Caenorhabditis elegans: one gene and its partners. The protein of the gene in region 3 purifies or fractionates together with the protein of the main gene of each other region. This does not show direct contact. Each region holds a gene or a part of one and is shown on either strand. Other genes may lie near its edges.

Region 1 (4,927 bases), 1.6 Mb from region 3:
ATGGAGCGCCAAACCAGATCTCCTGAATTAAGTGACTCTTTTGTTGAGGGACAAAAAGTTTGAAGAGCAAATATTCAATGGAAAATATTCAACAATAGGTTGGAAATTTCCAAAACAATTACATGTACTTTCCATAAGACTGTCCATAAGTGTAACAAGCTGTGTGGCAAACGTCAAGTAAATTTTTTTGCCAACTTTGGAAATAGCTGATAGAAATTTCAAAAATTTTGTTCTGAGAAACGCATTCAAAAAGCCTGAGAGATACAAACATCAAAAGCACACCAAAATATAAGTGCAGCAAAAAATATGTTCAAAGGTGCCAAAACTTTAGAAACCTGGCTGCCGAATAGTTGCCTAATTTCAGGCTAAAGCCAATTAGCGGTTGCCAACAATAATTTCTGGAACTGTACTTGGACACAGCCAGAACCAAACCTGTCAAAGTTTTCCCAAGTTTGCCAACTTCTGGTTCAAGTTAACTTTTTTCCAAACTATGGTTAGATGCTAGCCCAAATGTCAAGCATTTAAAAAAACTTAAAAACTTAAAACATTATTTTTCCAATATTATAAAACAAACCTTTGTAATATAAATAACCATAACAAGCCAAGAAAACAACAAAATCCATCCAAGATAGCAAATTTCTTTATCTCTGCGCTGACAAACTGCCTCAGAAGCACATTCCATAATTTGCTTTATCCTGAAAAAATACTTATTTCCAGCAAAAAAACCACTACTGGAAAAATGGAAACTGTGATGGATTGAGTGGTTTTCTTACACATCATTTTTCCATGCATAAAAACTGCATTTTCCAAGTATTCCTATTAATATACATTCAGAGAATGTGAGTTCCGTTGTGGTAAAAACTTTATCTATAGAACCTTATGTATTTTAATAAGAGAACACGGGAAAAGCCAGTTTTAGAAAACTAGTCGAATTGATTGTGTCTACAATGAAAATAATTGGGAAAATATTTTTAAATTGCAGATATTTGAATTTGCAACAAAAAACGATTCACTATAATCGTCATGGCTGAAAAAATCATAAACAAAAGCGAGAAAAATAGAAGGGAAACCACACCGGAAATGGGCCATCTAGATGAAAAACGAGCGGCACTAAGAGCATAGACAAAAATAATATGAATTTTTTAGTTTTTGAACCTACATAGGTAATGAAAAGTATATGGAGATCTTAATAGTGCCATAAATGAAAATATACAGTATTTTCTCTAATAGTGCTGTACCTCATCGATTTAACTTAATGGATCATATCTCGACTGTCTTAGCTTTAAGGAATATTTTTTACGAATATTAAAATTAGAGAAGATCATAAAAATTCAACAAACCAGTGTATGCGCATGACGAATTCGTGGAAAATTCCATATGAAAAAATATCATCCTTGTTGTTCTGATATTCACTCACCATCTCCTTTCCGCGAGGAGTCTGTAAACCTTCTCAAAATAAGAATTCGCGAGCGTCCACGGTATGTCAAAGAATCCAGTTCAAGAAGGTTTTTCAGGTTATCATTGCCTTTTTTTCACGAAACGAAAGCCATCAAAGCTGTGGATTTCAAGATCAAGACTCAACATAAAAATTAATTCCCATGGCTTATTATTTCATTCAAAAAATCTTGTATTTTATGTTTATCTCTTATTTACTATCAAATTAATACATAAAGATACGTTTTCGAGTTGTTGAAGATCATTTCAATAAAAAGAAGTGACCAGTGTCAGGTGTTGGGCTCTGGGAAAACCAATTAATAAAGGGTCATCGAGCAACTGTCACTTTATCGATCGATTTCATTCGTTTAATCCTCTATATTGTATAGAAAAACACAAGGTTTGTTAGTTGGTTTCACATTTTATTTGAAAAATTGCAGATTTTTACGTTTTCTTTGAAATTTCCAGCAGGAATAAATAACTCTCGTTTATTATCATTACAACTTTTTAAATTAAATTTTCCAGATGAACATTTTCATCTCCTTGGCAATTTTAATTGCCACAACGCATTGTCTCACTTTACTACGAGATCCTGTCACTCAAAATGGTGCTTCAAAATTTGAAAAAAGTATTGGAAAATACAAATATGAAGAAGGATATCTCAAAGCTCCAATTGATCCTTTCGCATTCACCAATGATCTTGAATTTGATTTACGGTAAGTTGCCGCTACTTATCAATTATTTGGCTCTATTCAATTGCAGATATTTCTTGAATATCGATCATTACGAGACTGGTGGTCCAATACTCTTTTACACTGGTAACGAGGGAAGTCTTGAGGCATTTGCCGAAAACACAGGATTCATGTGGGATCTTGCACCAGAGCTCAAGGCTGCTGTTGTTTTTGTTGAGCACCGATTCTACGGAAAATCTCAACCTTTCAAGTAAGTTAGATTTTGAAAAAAGTTGTTGAGTAATCAAAGCTGAGTAATGAAACTAACCAATAAAATCTGTGAAAAGTAAAGTGTTTCACTATTTCAAGATACCGCTTAATAATAAAAGCGCCGTACCAAATAAGAAAATTCTTGACCAAGTGTGGCCAAAAATATTTACTTGAAGCAGAAGTTGATATAACTTGGGCCAGTCTTGGAAAGCCTTGGTCTTTGGAGCATCCTAAATTATTTCTTCCTTAAGTATTTAGCCCAAGTATTGCTAATGTCTGCTCAAAGTTAACACTTATTATTCGTCCATATTTGGGCAAATTCTGCCTTGCCTAATAAATATAGACAGATTCAAAAAATGTTTATTTTGAGAATGGCGAGGCTCTGATAGAAACCTCCTTTTTGTTCTAAATTTCACAGCCATCGATGAAAATGGCTTGGTACATTAGGCAAATAACATTTGTAAGGTGTAAGGTGATGTTAGGGTGCCTACATGAAAGCCCTATATTGTTTGAATATTCAGAAACGAAAGCTACACAGACATTCGTCATCTTGGTTATCTTTCATCCCAACAGGCTCTGGCTGATTTTGCCCTTTCTGTGCAATTCTTCAAAAATGAGGTAATCTATAGCCCAATTTTATTTAATTTTAACTTCTTGCTATTACAGAAAATCAAAGGAGCTCAAAAGTCGGCAGTTATTGCATTTGGAGGATCATACGGTGGAATGTTGTCAGCTTGGTTTAGAATCAAGTATCCCCATATAGTTGATGGGTTTGTAAAATTTAATTATGTTATTTTAAAGATCATTTGTTCAGAGCAATTGCCGCGTCAGCTCCAGTATTTTGGTTCACAGACTCCAATATTCCAGAAGATGTTTATGATTTTGTAAGTTTCAATTTCTAAAATAATTCCAATTAAAACCAGCATTTAGATTGTCACTCGGGCTTTTCTTGATGCTGGATGCAACAGAAAAGCTATTGAAAAAGGATGGATTGCATTGGATGAATTGGCAAAAAGTGACAGTGGAAGACAGTATTTGAATGTTCTGTATAAATTAGATCCTAAGTCAAAGTTGGAAAATAAAGATGATATAGGATTTTTGAAGGTGAGAGTTGATAAGTTTAATGGACAATTTTTTTGAATTCGGAATGTCAAATAAATGAATTTTCCTTCTTGAGAAACTTATCACTTTTTCAGCAATACATAAGAGAATCGATGGAAGCAATGGCTATGGTAAACTATCCATATCCAACTTCTTTCCTGAGCTCTCTTCCTGCCTGGCCAGTCAAGGAAGCCTGCAAATCTGCAAGTCAACCAGGAAAAACACAAGAAGAATCTGCAGAACAACTGTACAAAATTGTCAACCTGTACTACAATTACACAGGAGACAAGTCAACGCATTGTGCAAATGCAGCGAAATGTGATAGTGCATATGGATCATTAGGTGATCCATTGGGATGGCCATTTCAAACATGTACGGAAATGGTTATGCCACTGTGTGGAAGTGGATATCCAAATGATTTCTTCTGGAAGGATTGTCCATTTACATCAGAGAAATATGCAGAGTTCTGCATGCAAACGTAAGTAAATATAACGTTATTCATTCGAAATTTTAATTTAAGGTTCTCCTCGATCCATTACAACAAAACTCTTCTTCGCCCATTAGCCGGTGGCCTTGCATTTGGAGCAACTTCTCTTCCATCTGCATCCAATATTGTCTTCTCGAATGGTTACCTGGATCCATGGAGTGGTGGTGGCTACGATCATTCCGATAAGGTACAGGGATCAGTGATTAGTGTAATTCTGAAACAAGGAGCTCATCATTATGATTTACGTGGAGCTCATCCACAGGATACCGAAGAAGTTAAAAAGGTTCGAGCCATGGAGACGCAGGCAATCAAGAAATGGATCAAGGAGAAGGCGAGAAATTCTTGGAGATATGATTAAATTTGATTCTACACGATTTTCTGTAATTTGTTTTTTATTAAATAAATGATTAATTCAATGTGAGATGTCATCTTTTAATGTCGTAGTAAGTATGGGTGCATAAGCTTTGGCAAGTTTATGTACCCATACTTACTATGGCATTAAAACGAAGAACATGTCTTGAAATGTGAAAAAAATAAGCCGGAAAAGGCTTCAAAATTTTGCTAATTTTTAGTTTTCCCCGGACACATTACTTATGGAAATTCGACAAAATGGCCCATTTCGGATTTTTTTCCAACAGAAAAAATATTTTTCGATGTGTCGGACTTTTATCAGCAACTGCAATTTTCATGCATACTTTGAGTATCTCTTTTCACAATGTTAAATTAAAATTGAAATTATTTTCGGATAAATAAATTATGACACTAAACTTTGAAAAAAAAATTGGACAAACATTCCACAAAATAATTTCTCATTTGTATAATTTTTCCAATTTTTGGCGTCTATGGAACTCAAAATAATCTTGAAACTCTGTTTGTATCTTGAATTTAAATTGTCAAATTTATACAGAAAATGCACAAAAATGTAATGAAAACAATTGAGCATGTCATCAAAAGTCGCTACAAA
Region 2 (4,829 bases), on a different chromosome or scaffold from region 3:
AACGGAAAAATTTTAATAAAATAAACAGAAAATGAACTGAAATTGGTTGAGGCTCACACTACAAACTACACATTTCTTCAGCCTCCCCAAACTTGGTTGAGGCTAGAAAAAGTGTAGTTTGCAGTGCGTGAGCCTCAACCAATTATCACTTGGACAGTTTGGCCTGCAAAATATGAAATTTTATGAAAAACTGGGTTTTTTTGGGGGGAAAATTGTACTAAAAAAGCTAAGTTTCACGTTCAAAACGGAAAAAAATGAAATTGAATGAGGCTCCCACTACAAACTACAACTCCACAGCCTCTAAAAACTTGGTTGAGGCTAGAAAAAGTGTAGTTTGTAGTGTAAGCCTCAACCAATTATTATTTACACAGTTTGAGCTGCAAAATGGAATAATTTATTGAAAAACTGATTTTTTAGGCAAAATTTTACTAAAAAGCTAAGTTTCACGTCGAAAACGGAATAGAAAACTAAAAATAAATTTGGTTGAGGCTCACACTACAAACTACAACTCCACAGCCTCATCAAATCTGGTTGAGGCTAGAAAAAGTGTAGTTTGTAGTGCGTGAGCCTCAACCAAGCTGCAAATTTGTCAAAAAACTTGGTTTTCCGGACAAGTTTTAGGCGATTTTCATGTTGAAAACTGAATTTTCAAAATTCTGTTAAAATAAACAAAAAATGAACTGAAATTGAGTGAGGCTCACAATACAAACTACAACTCCACAGCCTCCCCAAATTTGGTTGAGGCTAGAAAAAGTGTAGTTTGTAGTGTGTGAGCCTCAACCAAGCTACAAAATTCGAAAATTCGTTGAAAAACTTGTTTTTCTCGACAATTTTTACTAAAACATGCGATTTTCATTTTGAAAACTCATCAGAATAATTTTTTAAAAAATTCTATTAAAATTAACAACAGAAATAAAATGAAATAAATTTAGTTGAGGCTCTCACACTACAAACTACACACTTTTTCAGCCTCAACCCACCGCCAAAACCTCAATTTTTGAGCCAAAATCGCCATTTTTTCCTTTTTTTTTTTTCCACAAAATCCAACCTGATAATCAACATGAACAGTCTTCAGAAGCGTATTCAACGCCACATATCGAATATTCTTATCCGTATTCAAAAGGAATCGTCCAAGAATGTTCACAGCCAAAATGCGCAGGCCACTCTCGCTCTTAATCTCCATAATCGTGAGTACAGTCTCATAGAGAATCGCGTTTCCGACATTTTTCGCCGTTTCCGTATTCGTTGCCACTTGCGCCAGAATATCATTCATCTCTTCAGTGACACGTACGTCATCCTTCCCCAAAACTCTCAATAATCTCAGAATTTTGACCTGAAGGAACGGGTCAGAGATGCCGGTGACGTCGTGTTCCGGCGAATATCCACTCATTAGAAGATTCTTTAGAATCCGTACCAAATTCGGCACCAATTTCTTAAAATGATTCAAGACATCCGGAGATTTCTCGCACATTTCTGTGACCAAAGTCGTTGCGCCCATCAAAACTCCGTGATTTTTCTCTCCCAGAAGCGATCGGGTACATGGAATGAAGACTTCCATCAGCTCCGGCACTTTTCGAACGATACGGAACGCACAGAGCGCCGCTTTTTTCTTTAAATACGCATTGTTCTGCTTGATGATCTTCTCAACCTCGTTGGCCAGGTCTCGACACATTTCCGCTGAGCAAATTGAGCCCAGAGTGCAGAGAGCTAGTCCGCTGACGAATTGGGTGGAACAGGTGAGGTCGCTGGAAATGAAGAATTTAGTTTTAAAAAATAGAGTTTTCCGCGGAAATTGGGATTTTTTGCTTTTATTGTATCGAAAAATAGTGAAAATTCGATGAAAAACATTGAAAATGAGCAAAATATTAGTTGAGGCTCAGGCTACAAACTACAACTTCTGTCAGCCTCACCAAATTGGAAAACAAATCGTTTAAAATTTGGATTTTTAGCAAAATTTTCACCTTTTTTGCTCAATTTCCGGATTTTACAACCAATTTCTCTATTATTTCGTCGAAAAATAGTGAAAATTCGATGAAAAACATTGAAAATGAGCAAAATATTAGTTGAGGCTAAGACTACAAACTACAACTTTCTGTCAGCCTCACCAAAGTTGGAAGAAATCGTTTTATATTTGGATTTCTAGCAAAATCGTGAATTTTAAAGCAAAAATTCCAGTTTTTAGAACCAAATTCACTAATTTTAGCTCGAAAAATAGTAAAAATTGATGAAAAATCACTAAAAATGAGCAAAATCAAGTTAAAAATCTTGGTTGAGGCTTAGGCTACAAACTACAACTTTTGTCAGCCTCCCCAAAGCTGCTGGTTGAGGCTAAAAAAGTTGTAGTTTGTAGTCTACGCCTCAACCAAAATAATAATTCTTCGGATTTTTTTGTTTTCTATAGCATTTTTTACTGTAAAATCTCATTTTTGCATTGAAAATCCTTTAAAAATTGCTTTTTCTTCAAAAAATCAAATTTTGATGAGAAAAATCGCAGAAAAAAAGCTTTTAAACAAGATTTTTTCATTTTCATGGGTTTTTGCTAACTTTTTAAGCGAATTAGTGACGAGCATATGAACTTCCGATCGTTCATCGAGAAGAAGCATAGCTCCAAGATACCCAATTCGTTTGTCAGTGAATCGGGGGTGAGCCACCAGTTTCATGCACTCCATCTGAATAACAAATAATTTAATTTCCGGCGAAAAACGGTTCAATAACCTGTCCAAAATGCGCTGGGTAGCCGAGCATATGAATATAGAGCAATTTCGCGATATTTCTACATTTCCACGGAGAATCATCGTCTCGGAAGCTTTCTCGAATATTCGCACTTTCTCTATCCACCACTGCTCGCTCTTCAGCCATCGTTCGTGCCGCTCTGACCTGCCGAATTAGGTCTCGAAGCCGCATCGGAGTGCCGAGAGTTCTGAAAAAATAGAATTTACTGGGGAAATTTCGCAAAAATTTGAGTTTTTTAATGTTACAAACCTTCCAATCTTCGACTTATACTCATCGATCTTCTCAATGGCTAGCTCGACAGCCGTCGCCATCCTTGGAGCCTCACCCTGCAAAAATTCCTCATTTTTTGACGTTTTTTTTGGAGTTTTTTAGTTTTTTTTACAGCTCAGCAGTGAAAGTAAGTGGAATAAGTGAAATAAACGACGCTTATTAGTGAAAAAATGAATTTTTTAATCAAAAAATCACGAAAATCCACTAGAAAAAGCTGAAAAATCAGTGACAACACTGCAATTTTATTGATTTTTTGCATTTTACAATCCAACGCAGGGGGCGAGTCCGCAATTGCGCGTGAGGTCTGGTGTGGAGGTACCCGATTGCAGACCGTAGTAGGGGGAATTTAATTTTTGTTTTTTTTCTTTTTTCAATTTTTCGATTAAAAATCACTGAAACTTGAACTTTTCGCCAAAAAAATCGATTTTTTCCAGATGAACACCGAAGAATCGTCGTCCTCACAAGAATTGGAGGAGAAAAAACCGTCTCTCCGCGCTGAAAGATGCGGGATAGCGTCGCTTTTGTCTTCGGTAATTAAATTTCACTTGTTTTCCAAAGAAAAACCGCTTGCTTTTTAGCTCCGCAGTGACCATCTTGCGTCGAAAATCGATGAGCTATCGACCACAGAGGCTGCTGCTTCAGAAGAAATTCCCGAAGAAATCCCAGAAAACCGCCCATTAAATCGAAAAGAGAAGCGAAAACTCCAGAGAATGCAGGAAATTGACCAAGAAGTCAAGAAAAAAGCTCAAGAACCTGTAGAAATCGCCGAAATCCCCACAAATCTTAAAAATACATTTTGGTATCTGAAAATTCGAATTTTAAGTCAAAAAATCTGAAATTTTCAGCGATAAAGCCACTTTCAACTCGTACAACGCTCAATTCGGCTATAAATCAACGGAAAATAATAATTTTGTGCACTTTTCCATTCAAAATGAACAGGGAAACCGGGCTCTTGTGGCTTCACAGGATAGATTTATAAGAATGTATAAAATAGATGAAACTGTCGGTTTTTCTTCCAAAATTTCTGTAAAATAACGCTAAAAATTGCAGCCAGAAGTGATATGGAAGCATAATACGGGAAATTTGGTGCTGGATTCTTGTTGGGAAAACTCTGGAAAAGGGGTGTTCTCGTCGTCAAAACTGCGTCCAATTCAGCTATTTGATACGGAAAATGGAAGTATTCTCGGTGCTTATAATGGAAAAGATGCTGGGGTTGGTTTTTTTTTTTGCAAAAAAAAAAACGAAAAAAAAATGCTTAAAAATTGACATTTTTACATAAAAATCCAAAAAAAATTGGTTGAGGCTCAGAGACTACAAACTACAATTTTCTGAGCCCCAACCAATATTGGGTGAGGCTAAAAATAGTTGTAGTTTGTAGTCTTTAAAAGTAATTTTTCACTTTTTTTTCAATTAAAATCTGTTTTTTAATCAAATTTGTGCCAAAAACCTCTAAAAATAACTGAAAATTGCTAATTTTTTAAACAAAAATGCATTGATTGAGGCTCAGACTACAAACTACAATTTTCTGAGCCTCAACCAATATTGGGTGAGGCTGAAAAAGTTGTAGTTTGTAGTCTCTAAAAGAAATGTTTCACTTTTTTTCAAATTAAAGCTGCTTTTTAATCAAATTTGTGCCAAAAACTCGAAAAACCACGAAAAATTAAAATCTTCGCCTATTAATTCATTTCGAGACTACAAACTACAACTTTTTGAGCCTCAACCATTTTGTAGTTTGTAGTATAGTCGTTTTTCTGCAAATTTGATAAGTTTCAGAATTTAACATTTTAAAAAAATTTCCCTTAAAATTTATATAAAAAACAATCAAT
Region 3 (4,027 bases):
TTTGAAAATACAAGGTAAAGAAATTTATATTTATTAGAGTTTCACATTTTTTACTTAAAAATTATAATTTTCAGACGAAAAATCCTACGAAATCCGAGAGCAGTGGTTGATCGAAGCAATTCAATTGGTACTTCTTTCGCTTCCAACTTCAAGACGTCGGAAACTTCACAAATTTGTTACATTCATTCAATCGATCGAAACGAATGCAGTCTTCGACCTCGCTGATCCTTCTAATGGATCTTCCAACAATCGTGAAGCGGTAAGGAGGGGATCATTTTGCAAGAAAACTACTGTCTCGACTCGACAAATTTTTGTAAGATAAGAAAATGTATGAGTCTTTAAGGAGCACTGTAATTTCAAACTATCATTTCTGCCGAATTTTTATGGATTTTAATTAATTATTTGATAAAAATATATTTATCTATTAAAAAACTATAGAACTAAAAAATTAACACCTATATTTCAACACTGAAAATTCTGCAGAAATCTTCATTCGTTTCATTCGACAAAAATTTTTCGCCTCGAGACCGGTACCGTACTTTTGTCGCTATATTTCGTGTCTGTGTAATATCAATTTTTAAATTTTCGATTTCAGGCAATCATCGGACTCTGGACAGGTGTTTGTAGTAAATGCCGAAAGCAACAAGGAATGCTGATTACCGCTGTCCTCCTCGCAAACGTTCAATCTCTTTTTGCTGTTCCTGTTGAATTTATTGAACGGGTCAAACGATTGGAATGTGAAGAAAAGAACACCAGAAGTCGACGTGATTGGCAGCCACCATGTGAGAAATCGAAGAAAGGATTGCTCACACGATTGTTGCGTAAATAGATCTTACAATCTTCGCCCTATAGCATGTATATTATTTATTATATTTTTATTTTGCTCCCTTCCCCCCCCCCCCCCCCCCACTCACCTAATTCTTGTGTCATTATAATTTTCTAAAGTTTTGTGAAATAAATTTTGACGATGATTTATCAATATTTGTTTATTTTCTTCTATGCTTTCTTCTTGGTTAATTCTCCAATCTACTTTTCTTAAAATTCAATCTGTCAGCTTATTTCGGGACATTGAAAATTACGGTACCCGGTCTCGACACGACTATGTTTTGTTGAATACAAACGGATGTGTGCTTTTAAGGATTACTGTAATTTCTTACTTTCTTTTATGCGGAATTTTTTATCGAATTTTCATGGTTTTCGTTAACAAAATATATTTATTTATCAACAAACTGAAATAAAACAACTAAAACACTCAAATTTTGACAAATTGTGAGAAAAACTGAAAAACCCGAATGTAAATTCCACAGCAGCGAAAGTTTAAAAATGCATTACTCTTGCACACCAGTTTGTAATTTACGAAAAATAATTGTCGTGTCGAGACCGGCTACCGTATTTTTTTACGAAAAATTTCGTGTCTAGGTAATATTTATTAACAAACAAGTCATTAATGCTAAAAGAAGTGGAGGGACCGGCTTTTAAATTGCGAATAGTACATTTATTTTAAAATTAGATTTCAAAAAGTTTTGAAGCTGAAATTTTAAAAAAATCGAAGATTAATTTTTAAATTGATTATCCAACCCCTTTAACCTTTTACTGAAAATGATATTTTCTATTGGGATAAAGTTTTATTCCAACAATTCCCAATGAAACATCAAAGATATGCCTTCTTCTCTCTTCTCTCTTATATTTCCACCTCATGACAAGACTTGCAAACTCGCTCTATTGAAAATGCCGTCGATCAATCGGCAGTCATTGGTCTTTTGTGTATTTCTTGCGAACAACCGATTTCGCTCATTTTTGCCATATTTTAATGTTTTTTTCATAGAAATAACAAACTTTTTTTCCAGGTCGAACCATGTCCGGGGGAGGAAAAGACAGAATCGCGGTTTTCCCGTCTAGAATGTGAGTTTTATAGAAGAAAAACTTGATGGAAATCTAAAAAATAACTATTCAGGGCGCAAACCCTGATGAAAACCCGTCTGAAGGGTGCTCAAAAGGGTCATTCTCTGCTGAAGAAGAAGGCCGATGCGTTGAATCTTCGTTTCCGTGACATTTTGAGAAAGATTGTTGAGGTTTGTTTGAAAATTCTGAGGTGAAACGCTAAAAATCAAATGTTTTCAGAACAAAGTCCTCATGGGAGAGGTTATGAAAGAGGCTGCATTCTCTTTGGCTGAAGCCAAGTTCACTGCTGGAGATTTCTCTCACACTGTCATTCAAAACGTTTCTCAAGCTCAATATCGTGTTCGCATGAAGAAAGAGAACGTTGTCGGTGAGTCATTCGAGAATTTTTATTTTTTCGCGCGATTATATTTTCACTTTTTTCCACATTTTAAGAATAAACTATGAGTTTCTTTTGGCGTTATCGAGTTTACTTCTCAAAAAACGATAGAATTAGAACGAATTAACTTAAAAGTGCGAAAAAACTAAAAGTCGTGCTGCTGAATTGCGAGCTGTAAGAGTTCAAATAATTTGATTTTGTCGGAAATTTAACCGTTTTCAGGAGTTTTCCTTCCGGTATTCGACGCCTACCAAGACGGACCAGATGCATACGATCTTACTGGTCTCGGAAAGGGAGGAGCCAACATTGCTCGCCTGAAGAAGAACTACAACAAGGCCATCGAATTGCTCGTCGAGCTCGCCACTCTTCAAACATGCTTCATCACTTTGGATGAAGCCATCAAGGTTACCAACAGGCGTGTCAATGCTATCGAGCACGTTATCATCCCACGTATCGAGAACACTCTGACATACATTGTGACTGAGTTGGACGAAATGGAAAGAGAGGAGTTCTTCAGAATGAAGAAGATTCAGGCTAACAAAAAGAAACTGAAGGAACAAGAAGCTGCTCAAAAAGCAGTGAGTATCGACTTTTCATTTCTGGGTTTCTCACCTCACACGATATTGAATAATATTATCAGAAAAAAGTCGAAAAGTTTTTACAACGGTTTTTCATTTTTCCAAATAGAACCGTCATGAAAGAATTGAAAAATGCTGTCACTACAGTGTACCCATAAGAGACGACTTAAAACTAAAAAAGATAAATAAAATTTCAGTTGGAAGGACCAGGACCAGGAGAGGACGCAGCACATTCTGAAAATAATCCACCGCGAAATTTGCTTGCATCGGAAGAAGATAACTTGCCAGTCCTTTTCAATTAACCATTTGATTTTCTGATTGCCTCACAATGATTTCTGCTGTAATTTTAATTTTTTCGGATTACGGTAGGAACTCATTTGACCACTAGTCTCTTATCATTATTTGTAATCAGATCCCCCTTCCTTCCCCTCATCCAACACCCTCCGATGTTCTTCCTGTTTTCTATGTGGTTTCTTCTCGTATAGATTGACAAACATTCCATTAATTTTCCCGTATGCAAGAACAATCGATTCTGTGAATATGTACTCCAACCATTTTCTTTTAAAACTTAAAAATTCCTAACATTTTCCTGCTTCCATTTTCCATTTAGACTCGTGATGTTATCGTAGTAAAGGTTTGTAAATGAAATCTTCAGTAAATAAGAATTTCCACCGCGGTAAGTTGTTTCCTAATTATTTATTTGTTCAGAAAAAGAGCCGTTATTGAATTATGTCGTCGTCGACTGAAAGTGACACTGTGAGCAAGAGAAGAGCCATTTATAATTGCGTTTTTGGAAAGTGGTTTGAGTGGTGTCGTGTGGTCTAAAATATTGAAGATACGAAAATTAAAGTGTGAGAGACGGAGAGGCTCGTTATTCGTGTGAAGAGCCCTTCTATTCACAATTTGTTCGGCAGAACATTTTCCTTGCCTATTCTCTAAATTTCGATATGGGTTTCTATGTAATGTCATCTTCTTGAAATTCTGAATTTGTATTAGTGCACTTAGATATGGGGCGGATTCTTAATTAAGATTAATTAAATACCACTTAAAAAATTTTCAATTTTTTAATTTTCAAAAAGTTTCATAAATTTCTTAATTTATTTTTTTATAATCCATTAATCCTCTTCACTCACTCTGTTTGTGCTCTTCTTCTACTCATTCTCATCCTTCT

Evidence for each region.
Region 1: the proteins of vha-14 (region 3) and pcp-5 purify together in Caenorhabditis elegans (affinity purification with mass spectrometry, with the first as the bait; one large-scale study listed by BioGRID). This does not show direct contact.
Region 2: the proteins of vha-14 (region 3) and apg-1 fractionate together in Caenorhabditis elegans (co-fractionation; one large-scale study listed by BioGRID). This does not show direct contact.

What each region holds. Positions count from the first base shown.
Region 1 is NC_003281.10:7,904,397-7,909,323, reverse strand, and holds pcp-5 (Prolyl carboxy peptidase like protein 5), read left to right. Parts: upstream 1-1,959; coding exon 1,960-2,150; intron 2,151-2,196; coding exon 2,197-2,376; intron 2,377-2,896; coding exon 2,897-2,993; intron 2,994-3,041; coding exon 3,042-3,145; intron 3,146-3,189; coding exon 3,190-3,259; intron 3,260-3,305; coding exon 3,306-3,479; intron 3,480-3,571; coding exon 3,572-3,954; intron 3,955-3,996; coding exon 3,997-4,321; 3' UTR 4,322-4,379; downstream 4,380-4,927.
Region 2 is NC_003279.8:14,404,258-14,409,086, reverse strand, and holds the start of apg-1 (AP-1 complex subunit gamma), read right to left. Parts: upstream 3,060-4,829; 5' UTR 3,045-3,059; coding exon 2,983-3,044; intron 2,921-2,982; coding exon 2,716-2,920; intron 2,670-2,715; coding exon 2,545-2,669; intron 1,746-2,544; coding exon 1,049-1,745; intron 1-1,048. Other genes in the region: tcab-1 (WD_REPEATS_REGION domain-containing protein), read left to right, coding at 3,438-3,533, 3,582-3,802, 3,849-4,005, 4,054-4,215.
Region 3 is NC_003281.10:9,506,253-9,510,279, forward strand, and holds vha-14 (V-type proton ATPase subunit D), read left to right. Parts: upstream 1-1,847; 5' UTR 1,848-1,855; coding exon 1,856-1,902; intron 1,903-1,954; coding exon 1,955-2,072; intron 2,073-2,121; coding exon 2,122-2,269; intron 2,270-2,500; coding exon 2,501-2,856; intron 2,857-3,053; coding exon 3,054-3,158; 3' UTR 3,159-3,505; downstream 3,506-4,027. UniProt on the Caenorhabditis elegans protein: Subunit of the V1 complex of vacuolar(H+)-ATPase (V-ATPase), a multisubunit enzyme composed of a peripheral complex (V1) that hydrolyzes ATP and a membrane integral complex (V0) that translocates protons.